Linked DNA regions of Zea mays. The protein of the gene in region 1 interacts with the protein of each later gene in a pairwise test. Links are inferred from orthologs where the notes say so. Each region holds a gene or a part of one and is shown on either strand. Other genes may lie near its edges.

Evidence for each region.
Region 2: the proteins of Probable protein phosphatase 2C 9 (region 1) and AT-rich element binding factor 3 interact in binary tests that used the Arabidopsis thaliana proteins (3 or more experiments, as listed by UniProt). The link is inferred for Zea mays from reciprocal best matches to the Arabidopsis thaliana genes HAI3 and PYL6.
Region 3: the proteins of Probable protein phosphatase 2C 9 (region 1) and uncharacterized LOC100272864 interact in binary tests that used the Arabidopsis thaliana proteins (3 or more experiments, as listed by UniProt). The link is inferred for Zea mays from reciprocal best matches to the Arabidopsis thaliana genes HAI3 and RCAR3.

The regions. Positions count from the first base shown.
Region 1 is NC_050103.1:174,999,870-175,003,866, reverse strand, and holds Probable protein phosphatase 2C 9, read left to right. Parts: upstream 1-1,424; 5' UTR 1,425-1,686; coding exon 1,687-2,124; intron 2,125-2,221; coding exon 2,222-2,554; intron 2,555-2,670; coding exon 2,671-2,776; intron 2,777-2,853; coding exon 2,854-3,218; 3' UTR 3,219-3,354; downstream 3,355-3,997.
Region 2 is NC_050103.1:176,436,305-176,440,378, forward strand, and holds the start of AT-rich element binding factor 3, read right to left. Parts: upstream 2,876-4,074; 5' UTR 2,792-2,875; coding exon 2,785-2,791; intron 1-2,784. UniProt on the Arabidopsis thaliana protein: Receptor for abscisic acid (ABA) required for ABA-mediated responses such as stomatal closure and germination inhibition.
Region 3 is NC_050099.1:232,111,126-232,115,334, reverse strand, and holds the start of uncharacterized LOC100272864, read left to right. Parts: upstream 1-1,313; 5' UTR 1,314-1,431; coding exon 1,432-1,653; intron 1,654-3,080; coding exon 3,081-3,434; 3' UTR 3,435-3,849; coding exon of another isoform or gene 3,850-4,065; 3' UTR 4,066-4,209. UniProt on the Arabidopsis thaliana protein: Receptor for abscisic acid (ABA) required for ABA-mediated responses such as stomatal closure and germination inhibition.

The DNA.
Region 1 (3,997 bases):
TATACTCGCATACGTGGTGCATCTACACAACAGTCCCGCACCCGATAATGAAATGAGAGTAATTTTATCGACGCGCATTGAGAGCTTATTTGGATACTCTATTATTCATCCAAATACACATGAGTTAAAGACAATTGAGGCGTAAATTAAACTAATTTATATATAATCTATCTCAAACCATATGTATCGTGGTGAATAATAGACTCTTCAAACATAGCCGGCTGATCTGATTTCACCCGCTTTCATTGTCATGCTTGCCATATCATAGCAAATCCGAAGCGAGCACGAAAAGAATGGCGATCACTGTGGTTGCAGCCCTTACACAGGCTGCTTTACCACTTCACTGACAGACCGCAGGTACTACCTGCTGCAGCGACCACTCTATTACCAGTACGTACCTGGTAGTACGTACATGCGCCGAGCTACTGTGTACGGTTACCAACCAAAATGACGCGTGTTCGCGGCGCCGTGGAAGTGCGCGCCGGCCCGAGTTTCCCCCATACCGAACCGAGCCGACGAGCGGTGACTCAGCATGCACCAGCTGCCCCCCATTCGGCGCCTGCCCGCATGCAGTGCACCGGGCCACCGCCGCTCGGCACTGGCAGGCACCAGCAAGCCCGCAACGTGCGGCACACCGCACACCGGACTGTCAGCCGCGGCCGGCCGCGCCCCCTGCATCTTGCAGCGGCAGTTCTCTCATCTCTGCACGGCGTGGCTCCTATCTGCGTGCGCCTCGCTTTTTCCCAGGTTCACCTCCCCTCGCCCCCATCGTGGCCACGCCAGCGCCCAACCACCGCTCGCCGGCCCGCCTCCCCCCACGCAAGCCCTGTACACGTGTCCACCGGTACCGCGACCGACCACCTTCCCACTGATTGCGACCGCCCCAACCACGTGTCCCTTCTCCATCACTACACCCGTTCCCTCGTGCTCCCGCCCTGAGACTCTCTTTCTCGCTGGCAGGTGGGCGACGCTTCAGCCAGTCCCCACATGTCATCGAATCCTGAACAAAGAGCGGTAGGGAAGAGTACGTACTACTGTGGAGTCCGGATATTTTTCTGGGCAGCCCGAGAGACAGAACCCATGTGGTGGGGACCGCAATAGTAGGCATCAATAAATCAGCTGCCGAGGCGGACTGCCCCACCCACCCCAGGAGCGCCACGTGTGTGCAGCACAGGGATTAGGCGATAAACACACCATCAAACTTCCTCGTGGGCCCGCACCTCGCCCGCCTCGGTGGCCGATGCACACCACGTGTCGATCGCGCTGAGCAAGATACCGGCACGCGTCCGGATCCTGCCGGGACGGACGGCCCCGGTGCGCCGGACCAGGAGCACGTCGCAACAGCTGTACGTGTCGAGGCGCTGCCCGTGACGGCGACGGCCCCCCTGCCCGGCTGCCCCTGCCCGCCTCGCCTCGCCTCTCTTGTACTGCCCCCACGAAGCATTCGTGCTCGTTTCGCCTCGCGCCCGCGCTGCTGTCCTGCTGCTGCTATTTTGCCATTGCATCCATTTCCGGGGGACGGAGTGGAGGAGGAGGGCGTCGCCTGCGTTGCTTCGCGTGGGAAGCGTAGCGTGCTTCGTTTAGGCCTCTCGCCAATATCCGAGGGTTAATCTAGAGAGGCCTTTGGCTTTGCCAGACGCGCCTGTACGCGCCTTTCTGGGAGGCAGCCGCTTGCTCTCGCCTCCAATGGCCGAGATCTGCTGCGAAGAAGCCAAGTCCACGCCGGCGACCGCCGTGGCTGCGGCTTCAGTCTCCGCCACGGCCGCTGCGGCCGCCGCCGTGGCAGTGGCCTCCTCGGCGTTAGAGAGGAGGCGACGCAGGTTGGAGATGAGGAGGTTCCGCGTCGCGGGCGATCCCGAGGCGCCGGTCGCGGAGGACGTCCGCGCCGCCAAGCGGCAGAGGCTGGCGCGCACGCTGTCCAGCACCTGCCCCGACGCGGGCTCAGGCTCGGGCTCGGACTCCGACAGGCCTGCCCTACCGGAGCGGTTGCCCAGGTACGGGGTCACCTCCGTCTGCGGCCGACGCCGCGAGATGGAGGACACGGTCTCCGTTAGGCCGGACTTTGTGCCCGGCACCAGCAAACAGCACTTCTTCGGCGTCTTCGACGGCCACGGCTGCTCCCACGTACGCCATACTCGTACACGACGCGCGCGCATCTAGGAGTTTAAATCCCTTTTGCGGAGTTCTGTATGCTGATCGCAGTTTCGCGCTTTTGCTGTAGGTAGCAACCATGTGCCAGAACATGATGCACGAGGTGGTCGCGGACGAGCACAGGAAGGCAGATTGTTCTGGCGAAGAGACGGCGTGGAAGGCCGTGATGGAGAGGAGCTTCGCGCGACTGGACGAGCAGGCCGCCAGCTGGGCGACCAGCCGCAGCCGCGACGAGCCCTCCTGCAGGTGCGAGCAGCAGAAGCCCTTGCGTTGCGATCACGTGGGGTCCACCGCCGTGGTCGCCGTCGTCAGCCCCACCCACGTTGTCGTCGCCAACGCCGGCGACTCCCGCGCCGTCCTATCCCGCGCCGGCGTCCCCGTTCCGCTGTCCGTCGACCACAAGGTCTGTATACTCGTGCATCACGGGGCTGAGGGCGCTGCGCCTCCTCCCCTGTCCCCTCCCCGCGTCTTCGTCGCCTGTCCGTGAGCCTGACGTGCTCAACTTCCTGATTCGTTCAGCCTGACCGGCCTGACGAGCTGGCGCGCATCAAGGCGGCGGGCGGCCGCGTCATTTACTGGGACGGTGCTCGTGTTCTCGGCGTCCTCGCCATGTCTCGAGCCATAGGTGAGCTGGGCTCATTCGGGGTCGTTTTGGGTCCACTCGTTGGACTTGAACTGACGGGTTTATGCGCGCGCGTGCAGGCGACGGATACCTGAAGCCGTTCGTGTCGTCGGAGCCGGAGGTAACGGTGACGGAGCGCACCGACGACGACGAGTGCCTGATCCTGGCCAGCGACGGCCTGTGGGACGTCGTGACCAACGAGATGGCGTGCGAGGTCGTCCGCGCGTGCTTCCACAGCAACGGTCCGCCGGCGCCGGCCGCTCGGGCGAACGGCGCGGCCCTCCGGGCAGCCGAGAACGGATCCGCGGCCGCCAAGGGCGTGAGCGTGGAGGATTCCGACAAGGCGTGCTCCGACGCGGCCATGCTGCTGGCGAAGCTGGCGCTGGCCCGGCGGAGCGCCGATAATGTTAGCGTGGTCGTCGTGGATCTCCGCCGGGGGATATGATTTGCCTTCCTTCCTTTTTAGCCCTCTTGGAATCCAAGCTAATTTCTCCCCCGTTTTCTTCCATACTTTTAGGTTCTGTTTTGGTTTAGTATTAATACTGTAGTAGTTACCAACCAGACGCTTTTCTTCTCTCAAACGAGGAATTAAAAGCCAGTCGGACCAAGGAAATAGAACATCGAATTGCACACAGATGCACAAGGTAGTGGTAATCGTTAATCATAGCTTTTTTTGGCCGTCGATTAACGCGCTAAAAAGTGCTGATTCCATTCTTTGACTGAAGTAGATTAACGGGGCGATTGGTGTAGAAATTGGCGCTAAGACCACGTTTAGCGGGAGCAGATTGCGATTGGTTGGCCCAGGCAGGCGGTAGGATTCGGAGACGGATTAACAAAGGCACGGCAAGATGCTGATCTATCTGTGGGGTGTGGGCCCGTCGTCTATCGAGTGAAGGGAAATGCTCCGAAGTTCTCGTTTACGGAAATGAGAAACGGGCATCTTTCCACAGGGGCGGCCTGGGCCTGAATGATGCGACGACCCACGATCAATGGTTACCTTTCGCCCGCGGCGTCGTGCGTGGGCGGCGAGGCGACAGAGCATTTGCCTTTGTCCGACTGTCCGTTGGGCGATCGACCGGTCGGGTCAGGCGCTGTTGAAGCCATTATCGAGGCCTGCGCCGCGCCTTTTGGTACTCCTCTGGAGTCTGGAGTGCTACGGCGGGGCGCGCCGCTCGCACATGGCGCGGCTGGTTGACAGGAGCTGGGTGTTCCGGGGTGTCGGAG
Region 2 (4,074 bases), about 1.4 Mb from region 1:
CTTCATGGGGCAACTTCTACTCCTTTACTACACTCTTATTTACCTCTATCTATTGAGGTATACAAATAATTTCAAGTTTTCTCCACTACCCTCCTTATAGTACATCTACAAATAGACAATGATTTGGAGATACATTTGGGGATCACAAATTTTCTCCTCAAGAACAGTTTATAAATTGCTTATATGATATCAACACATTCATCAAGCCTTCAAGCGGTCATGGAAGTTTGCTTGAAAAAATAAAAAAAATCTTCTTTTGCCTTATTCTAAAAAATTAGTTGAGTAATATAGCGCTTCTTAAATATAAAAACATGCATTTAGATTGTTGCAATTGCATCATTTGCTCACTAGATGTTGAAGTGGATCTTTTTCACCTTATGTTGGACTACCCTTTTGCTTTGGATTGTTTGTCTTCTCTGAATCTATTTATACTCCCTAATAGTGGTTATTTGGAAGTGTTAGAGATCAACTTCATCTTTCTTTCTTCATGGAGATTCTAATCGAGATGTGTTGGGCCATTTTGGATAATGCGTAATGACAACATTTTCAACAATATTGTGCTTTCAATTCCAAAGTGCAAGGTAGTTTTCAGGAAAGAGTTTGCTCTAGTTATTCTTAGAGCAAAAACACGTTATAATCCAAGTATCGATTTATGGCTACAAGCCTTTTTGTAATTCCTTAGGTTTTCATTTTGACTTTTTTGTGTCTTGAACTATGCACTTTTATGCTCTAGTTTTTTAAATAATTTTTAGTAGCCCATGTCCTCCTATTTAATCAAAATAATAGGAGAAATGTTTTCAACTTGGAGCTAGCAATGACTACCATGTGTGACATATTAATGAAATATGAGCTTAAAATATATTCATGAGTGCATAATGTTTTATGCATACATGAGGTATTTAATCACATGGCTAGGTAGATAAATGATTGATAACTACATATGCATCTAGTAAGATAAAAACAATGCCTTTAGAGCACCATATATACTATTGTCTTGATTGTGGTGCTTATATCATACTACACCATCTGATGAGTAATATTGACTGTGAAAATAGAAGCAAATGGAGGCGGAGAGAATATATACATCCAATTGATGTCAAAATTATTAAAAGGTTGCAAGGTGGAGAGGTAGGTGACTTCTCTCACATATAGCAGGAGATTGATTTTGATGAAAACATGCTTAGCATACTGGTCCATGTACCTTTGATCTTTCATCAAGTTTCTCAAGTGGACAATTTAGCTTATCAATTCCTACATGGATCACTAGTTGTAGTTTGAATTTGAAGGTCATGGGGTTTACCATCTTGTTAACTGGATGACTATTTATCTTAGAAAAGAGTATGGTCAGCTTGGTGTCCCTGACTTGAGACATCGTAATATTATTCCATTAGCTTCTTGGGTAAAAAGGTACGATTTGGAGATGACCAACTATGGAAACAAATCATAGACCTCAAATATAGTACTACAATCCCTAATGCCTTACATGTAAAGATACTAACAACTATCATCTTTTGGAAGGGTTTTGTTTGGATGTCTAGGTAGCTAAAATAGGGTACAAATAGAAGATTGGAAATGGAAAAGGATGAGATTTTGGGAAGACAATTATTGGCTAGACTCATCTAACCTTGGTATAAGTTTTTGGGACCCTTACTTTTGTACTAATGCATGGGCAGATTGCTACTATTGTGGAGTTGTGGAATGGGTCTAGACTTAGATGTACTTTTAAGGTATGTCAAGAGAGTATCTTGTTATAAATTAGGAGGATGTCATCCAAATTGATCCCATTATCTATTTTAATAAGGAAGAGATGAACTAGTATATGCTCTATTTAAGGGTATGTATCCATTGAAAGAACCTGGATGTATGAGAGAGAGAAAATCACAGTTAGGAACATGTTATGCTCTTTTATAAGATGAAGCTTGTGGAAATTCAAATAACTCAATTCTTTCTATGCAAGAAATTAAGCTCTTTGCAGTAACTATGGTGATCTATATTCAAACTGTTGGAGCAATTGTGCCCCTTGGGACACATGCAACAATACAAGGCCATCTCTAGAATAGAGGAACTCGCAAGATGGCATGGATGACTCCTAATGAATGGACCATGACCAAAGACATGTTTGGGAGCTTGGTCAGCACTAACACAATACATAATAGAAGAAAGATTGGCTAACCTGCAATTATGGCCTCTAGCACAATGTCATGATCTGATATCTTTGTAATCATTCTATACTACTAGAGGGAGATTCTTTTGAAAGTTTGAACTATAATGCTTTACTAGAACCATTTCTTGGTCATGATAAGTAATTTAATGGACCAGGGGTGCCCCTTCAAATTCTAAAAACTGGAAACATATGGATGTGTGTGGTAACAATGTAGTCCAACGTCCCATTATAAGATGTCTATATAAATTGTACTTAATTCAAGTATTTGTAATTTCAACCATAGCACTATTCCATAAAAATTGTAGAAAAATAAGAAAAAACAAAATGCAGTACATAAAAATAGGGGTAAAGGTTAAATAAGAGGGCACTTGTTTTCTATAAAAAATGTGATCCTTGACATGTAGCACTCAAGTGTGGTTAGGTTTTGGGATTAGATGTAGTGGCTTTAGATTTTGGGTGGATAGGGGAGATAGATCTGATGGCTATTGAGGTTAGGGGTATGGTCCCCAATCATAGCAACATCAAGATAGGTGGTGAGGTAGAAGTGACAGTTGGCAGTCAACATCCTTGTCAAAGAATTTACTAGCAATACGATTTGAAGGGTGTCAATAGTCCCATACCTCTCATAGATATCACAGCAAGAGGGACAGTGTGATGCACGACGGCGACGGCAGCGGCGGCGGCGGGGAAGACACCGAAGACCACAGGAAGTGGGTTTGGTATGTGGCAGCAATGGTCGATGGGGGAAATGGTGAGGGGGTGGGTGAATTGCGTGAGGAAAGTGAAGACAAGGAAAACGGTGGGTGGACGAGTGGGTGTTGGGGGATGAATGTGGATGGGAATATGGCTTGTAGGTATGCTCATTATGTGTGGAAAGGCAGGTTCTGGAGTACAAGGAGGGTTATTAGCATATCCGCGTGGGCGGCACTACCCACCACACACCTTTTATTGGGACCACCAAAGGATGAAGCTTTATTGGGCTTTAAATTAACAAGTTGTTCCATGTTGCTTGATAGTTATCCCTGCCTATGGTCTCTCTAAAAAACTGATTCCACTCTATGGGACCTTCACAATAGTAGAAAAAAATCTAGTTAATGTTGGTTCTTCTACAATTTACTAAACACAACAAAACATGAAACTAAATACCATTTGTAGAAACAATTACCACATTTAAGTTTAAAACCTTAAATATGATTTTAGGGAATATGTGGTATCCATGTTACCCAAGAGAGGGAGAGATAGAGAGAGGGAGGGAGGAAGAGGGGAAGAGGAATAATTGGGTCACTTATAACTATCCTAGTTTTGTCGGGGACCATAATTAGGGGTACCCTCAAGACGCCTAATTCTCAGCTGGTAACCCCCATCAGCATAAAGCTGCAAAGGCCTGATGGGTACGATTAAGTCAGGGATCAGTCCACACGAGTGACTCGATCACGCTTCACCCGAGCCTAGCCTCGGCCAAAGGCAACCGACCTCGAGAGACTTCTGTCTCGCCCGAGGCCCCCTTTTTATGGCGGACACATCACCGGCTTGCCCGAGGCCTTGGCTTCGCTCAGAAGCAACCTCGACTAAATCGCCGCACCGACTGACCAAATTGCAGGGGCATTTAACGCAAAGGCGGCCTGACATCTCTATCCTGACACGCGCCCCCGGCAGAGCCGAAGTGACCGCCGTCACTCCACTGCTCCACTGGCCAGTCTGACAGAAGGACAGCACCGCCTGCGCCACTCCGACTGCAGTGCCACTCGACAGAGTGAGTCTGACACGCAGTCAGGCCTTGCCAAAGGCGCCACGGCGAACTCCGCTCCGCCCGACCCCAGGGCTCGGACTCGGGCTAAGACCCGGAAGACGGCGAACTCCGCTCCGCCCGACCCCAGGGCTCGGACTCGGGCTAAGACCCGGAAGACGGC
Region 3 (4,209 bases), on another chromosome or scaffold:
TACAATCTTCACCGCTACATCCATCATAGTTTGATGCGACATATTGAGTACCTCATCTTCGGTCATCTCAACATCGAGCCACATCGAGCCCGAGGAAGACATGGCAAGGGTGGTTTGGTCAAGTGAAAGGAGAGTGAGAGGACTGATATACAGAGTGATAGAAGAGAAATAGAGAGTGGGGAGTGTGAATGAACCAAACATCCCTTCATTTATAGACCACATTCCATATATTTTTTTTTAAAAAATTGTATTTCAAACTCTTTAAAAAAGACTAGCTGATGTAACACATGTGGACTAATCAAAACGTCCAACATCGCTAAAGACGGCTGGTATTGACCGAACCAACAAATCATAATCGCTCTCGTATCTCCAACCGATCGACTATCCATGAGACCAATCGGTACTCGGCGCTAGCACAACGAGGTTGGTACTGACCGATCGACGTAACCAACCAACACCAGCAATCGATAAAATCGCGCAGTTAGAACCAACCTTCATAGCAACTTGCTAAACTATTATCCCTTCTAAGAGCAACTCCCGTTGTTCTTTAAAAGACTTACTAAATCAATAATTTAGGTAGTCAACATAAGAACTCATCTCCAACATTTCTTTAAATAAACTTACTTAATTTAGCAACTTCTCATCTAGCCTCATTTTCTCTCTACATTTGGCAACTATTTAGCAACTCCGTAAAAAAATGTTGACTGCATTATATAGATAATGAATGTAATTGATGATATTTGTGACTTATTTTTATATGGATAGATACAAAACAAAACTATAAATATAAAACTATTGGTGAACTTACACTTTTTAACTCCCAAAGTTATTTAACAACTTCTTAAATATGTGATTTATAAAGCTAAAATTTAGATAATTATTATTGGAGTTGCTCGTACATTGCTCTCCGATAGCTTAACAACACCATTATGCGACGTGCATGGGGCCTTGTTTTAGAAAAAAAACATGTCTACACCTATCTCCAAACCAAAAAAAAGGCAACGAGATAATGCCGTCCGCCATGGGGCCATCCGGCCATCCATGTTTTCACGAGCAAACCGAAGCAAAAGTGGCGAACTCGGAGGGCATATCTGGCATTCCTAATTCTAGTAGGCCCTTGCTTGTAAGCGGCACCCAATAGCATAACAACCACACCTGAGGCTGCGGCCTTTGTGCCATCCAGGGGTCGTCGTCGTCACTCTCTCCCTCTCGCCCTCGCCATCGCCATCGCCCTCGCGGTCTCGCCGCGGCATAAACAAAACAAGCAAAGCAAGGCAAAGGCAAAGGCAAAACCCCACCTCCTCGCTCCGCACCTCGTCGTCTGCTTTTCCTCGGTGCGGAACACAAGCCCCTGCCGCCTCCATTACCGGGCTGTGCCTGTGCGAGGCTGCGAGCGTGGTGGCTGTGTCTGGCTTTGCGGCGGCGGCGGTGATGGTGGTGGAGATGGACGGAGGCGTGGGAGTAGCAGCAGCAGGAGGAGGAGGAGCGCAGACGCCGGCGCCGCCGCCGCCGCGGCGGTGGCGCTTGGCGGACGAGCGGTGCGACCTGCGCGCCATGGAGACGGACTACGTGCGGCGGTTCCACCGGCACGAGCCCCGCGACCACCAGTGCTCCTCCGCCGTCGCCAAGCACATCAAGGCGCCTGTCCACCTTGTGAGCGCCTGCCTCTCTCTCTCAATCTCTTCCTTCCATTCCACGCCGCTGAATCAGATATATCAATCCCTCGCCTACTGCCTGCTCTGCTATGCTTTTTCTCCGCGCCGCCGTGCCGTTTCCACGTTTCCATGGCGAGAGTATGTAGGGTGTTGTGTCGCGCTCGCGCAGTCGATCCGCCGCCGAGACATCGTTTCGATCGGTTTCTCGATTTCTCCTTTTGTCTGGCCGGGTCCCGCCGCCCGGCGCCCCCGGTTTTGGAGTGCCGATGCGCGGCTCCTTGATTAGGAAACAAGGATGCCCGATTTGGATGCCGTCTTGAACTTGAACCGGCCCTGCTCTGCTTCTGCTTGCTCGTCTCTCCCGTCGTCATCCTTTCTCTCTTTTCACGCGATTGGTCGGGCGGATCCATTGCTGGGAGGACCCACGTCGCTTTAGCCGAAATCTAAGATTTGCATTTCCTGCCAAGAAACCGCCTGTGAATTTTTTTCTGAGCTCTCGCGAGATGAACATGAGAGATGCATGATTGGTTGCAAAGGCAAATGATACACACAGAAAAGCCTCGACGATTTTTAATTCGCCGTTCTGTAGTACTGTAACCTCGTCTCACCGTGGGTGGGAAGATGCTTCCCCCCCACCCGCACCTCGCGAGATGCCCGCTCGCTGAATCTGCTTTCCGCCAGATTAATTACTTTGAGATTTCTATCTAGCTGCTCATGCATTGTTTTGCTGGCCTGTATCCCCCGCGTTATTAGGCTTTGAAGTGTTGCCGCTTTATTCTGCAAGTAATCTAGTAATCGAGACGGTCAGACGGCGGTGGTGGTGGTGGGAGGGAGGGAGATACGCTTCACTTCACTTGGACTCCACTCCTTTTGGACGTGGTTCAGCTTCAGCACAAGATCAGATGCAAAACTAGTAATCTTACCCAAAAAAAACACATTAGCTTTTGCATAATTATGCGATGCGATGCACTGAATTGATTACTGTTTCAGAGGGAACCATCGTTTCTGGCTGACTTTCCAGCCCAAGTTTTCAGCATATTCCAAAAGGATGCTTGTGAATATGCTTAGCAACCTCAAGGGCTCTAGGCCTCATTTTATAACTGTGTACTGTGCCTCTGATTAGAAGAGATGTCATATTCCTCAAGCGTGTTTAGTTGACTTGTAGACAGTACACCGTTCATGCCATTTTTCCTGTTACAATTCCTGGCGATGGTTCAGCTGAGCCTGGTCGAGCTGTGCAGTTAGCCGGTCGGTTAGGGTGTTTATGCAGAACACTTAATACTACTTGAATAGCAAGCAACCGGGGACCTGTTTATTCCTTCGTCTGTTACATTGAAAGTGTGGATTAATCAATCTTGGTCACCTGCTTAAAGCTTAACCATACATTGAAGTGCCTGATGATCGAGTAATTGTCTTGTCTCTCAGGTCTGGTCCCTGGTGAGGCGGTTCGACCAGCCACAGCTCTTCAAGCCCTTCGTGAGCCGGTGTGAGATGAAGGGGAACATCGAGATCGGTAGCGTCAGGGAGGTCAACGTCAAGTCCGGGCTGCCGGCCACAAGAAGCACGGAGAGGCTCGAGCTGTTAGACGACGACGAGCGCATTCTCAGCGTCAGGTTCGTTGGAGGCGATCACAGGCTGCAGGTATGCTCTGTTCTTCATCTATCTATATTCTGTGCTGCCCATGCGAGATATTTTGCCCACCACCTCAAATGCGTCCTGGAGTTCCTCTGCCAGATGCATCTTGATGTGCTGCCCTGCGACGATGCCATCCTCGAGTGATAGCCCCCCAACAAACTCTTGTCGTCTATCTAACCAGAAAACAAGCAGCGGTTGTTGTTGTTGTTATGTACCGGGTGATGTTTGCATGCTCTCAACTCCAAGCATGGCACTGACTTGCCATCCTTTGACCTTACATGCCAAGTTCATCGCATGAGCACCTGTCACTCGCTGTCGCTTGTCGTGCTCCGTCCGTTTGCCCTCACTCGTCATCAGCCAGCGATAGCAACAAGTGGCCCATGGTCACAACTCACATGCGTTGCACCTGGATAATGGACGATGGACGCCACCTGGATATAAGTTTATCCGGCCCTGACCCCCTTGGGTTGGTTGCAAGAACGCCAGCGTGTGTGAAAGCTGACGACTAGTCTAATTCATCGATCTGCTGCATCTCACCTTCCTTTTCCTTTGCCCGCAGAACTACTCCTCCATCCTCACCGTCCACCCGGAGGTCATCGACGGCCGGCCAGGGACGCTCGTCATCGAGTCCTTCGTCGTCGACGTCCCCGACGGCAACACCAAGGACGAGACCTGCTACTTCGTGGAGGCGCTGCTCAAGTGCAACCTCCGGTCACTCGCGGAGGTGTCCGAGGGCCAGGTCATCATGGACCAGACGGAGCCCCTTGACCGGTGAATAATGAGTCGGACCATTATATTGCATTGCATTCTGTGTACGCGTAGACCTGTTCTCCAATGCATGGAGCCCCTAGGTTCTTGGAAAACTGCTATGCCGCGTTCAAAGTCAAGTTCTTTTTCCCCCTCCTTGCGATTGTGTTTT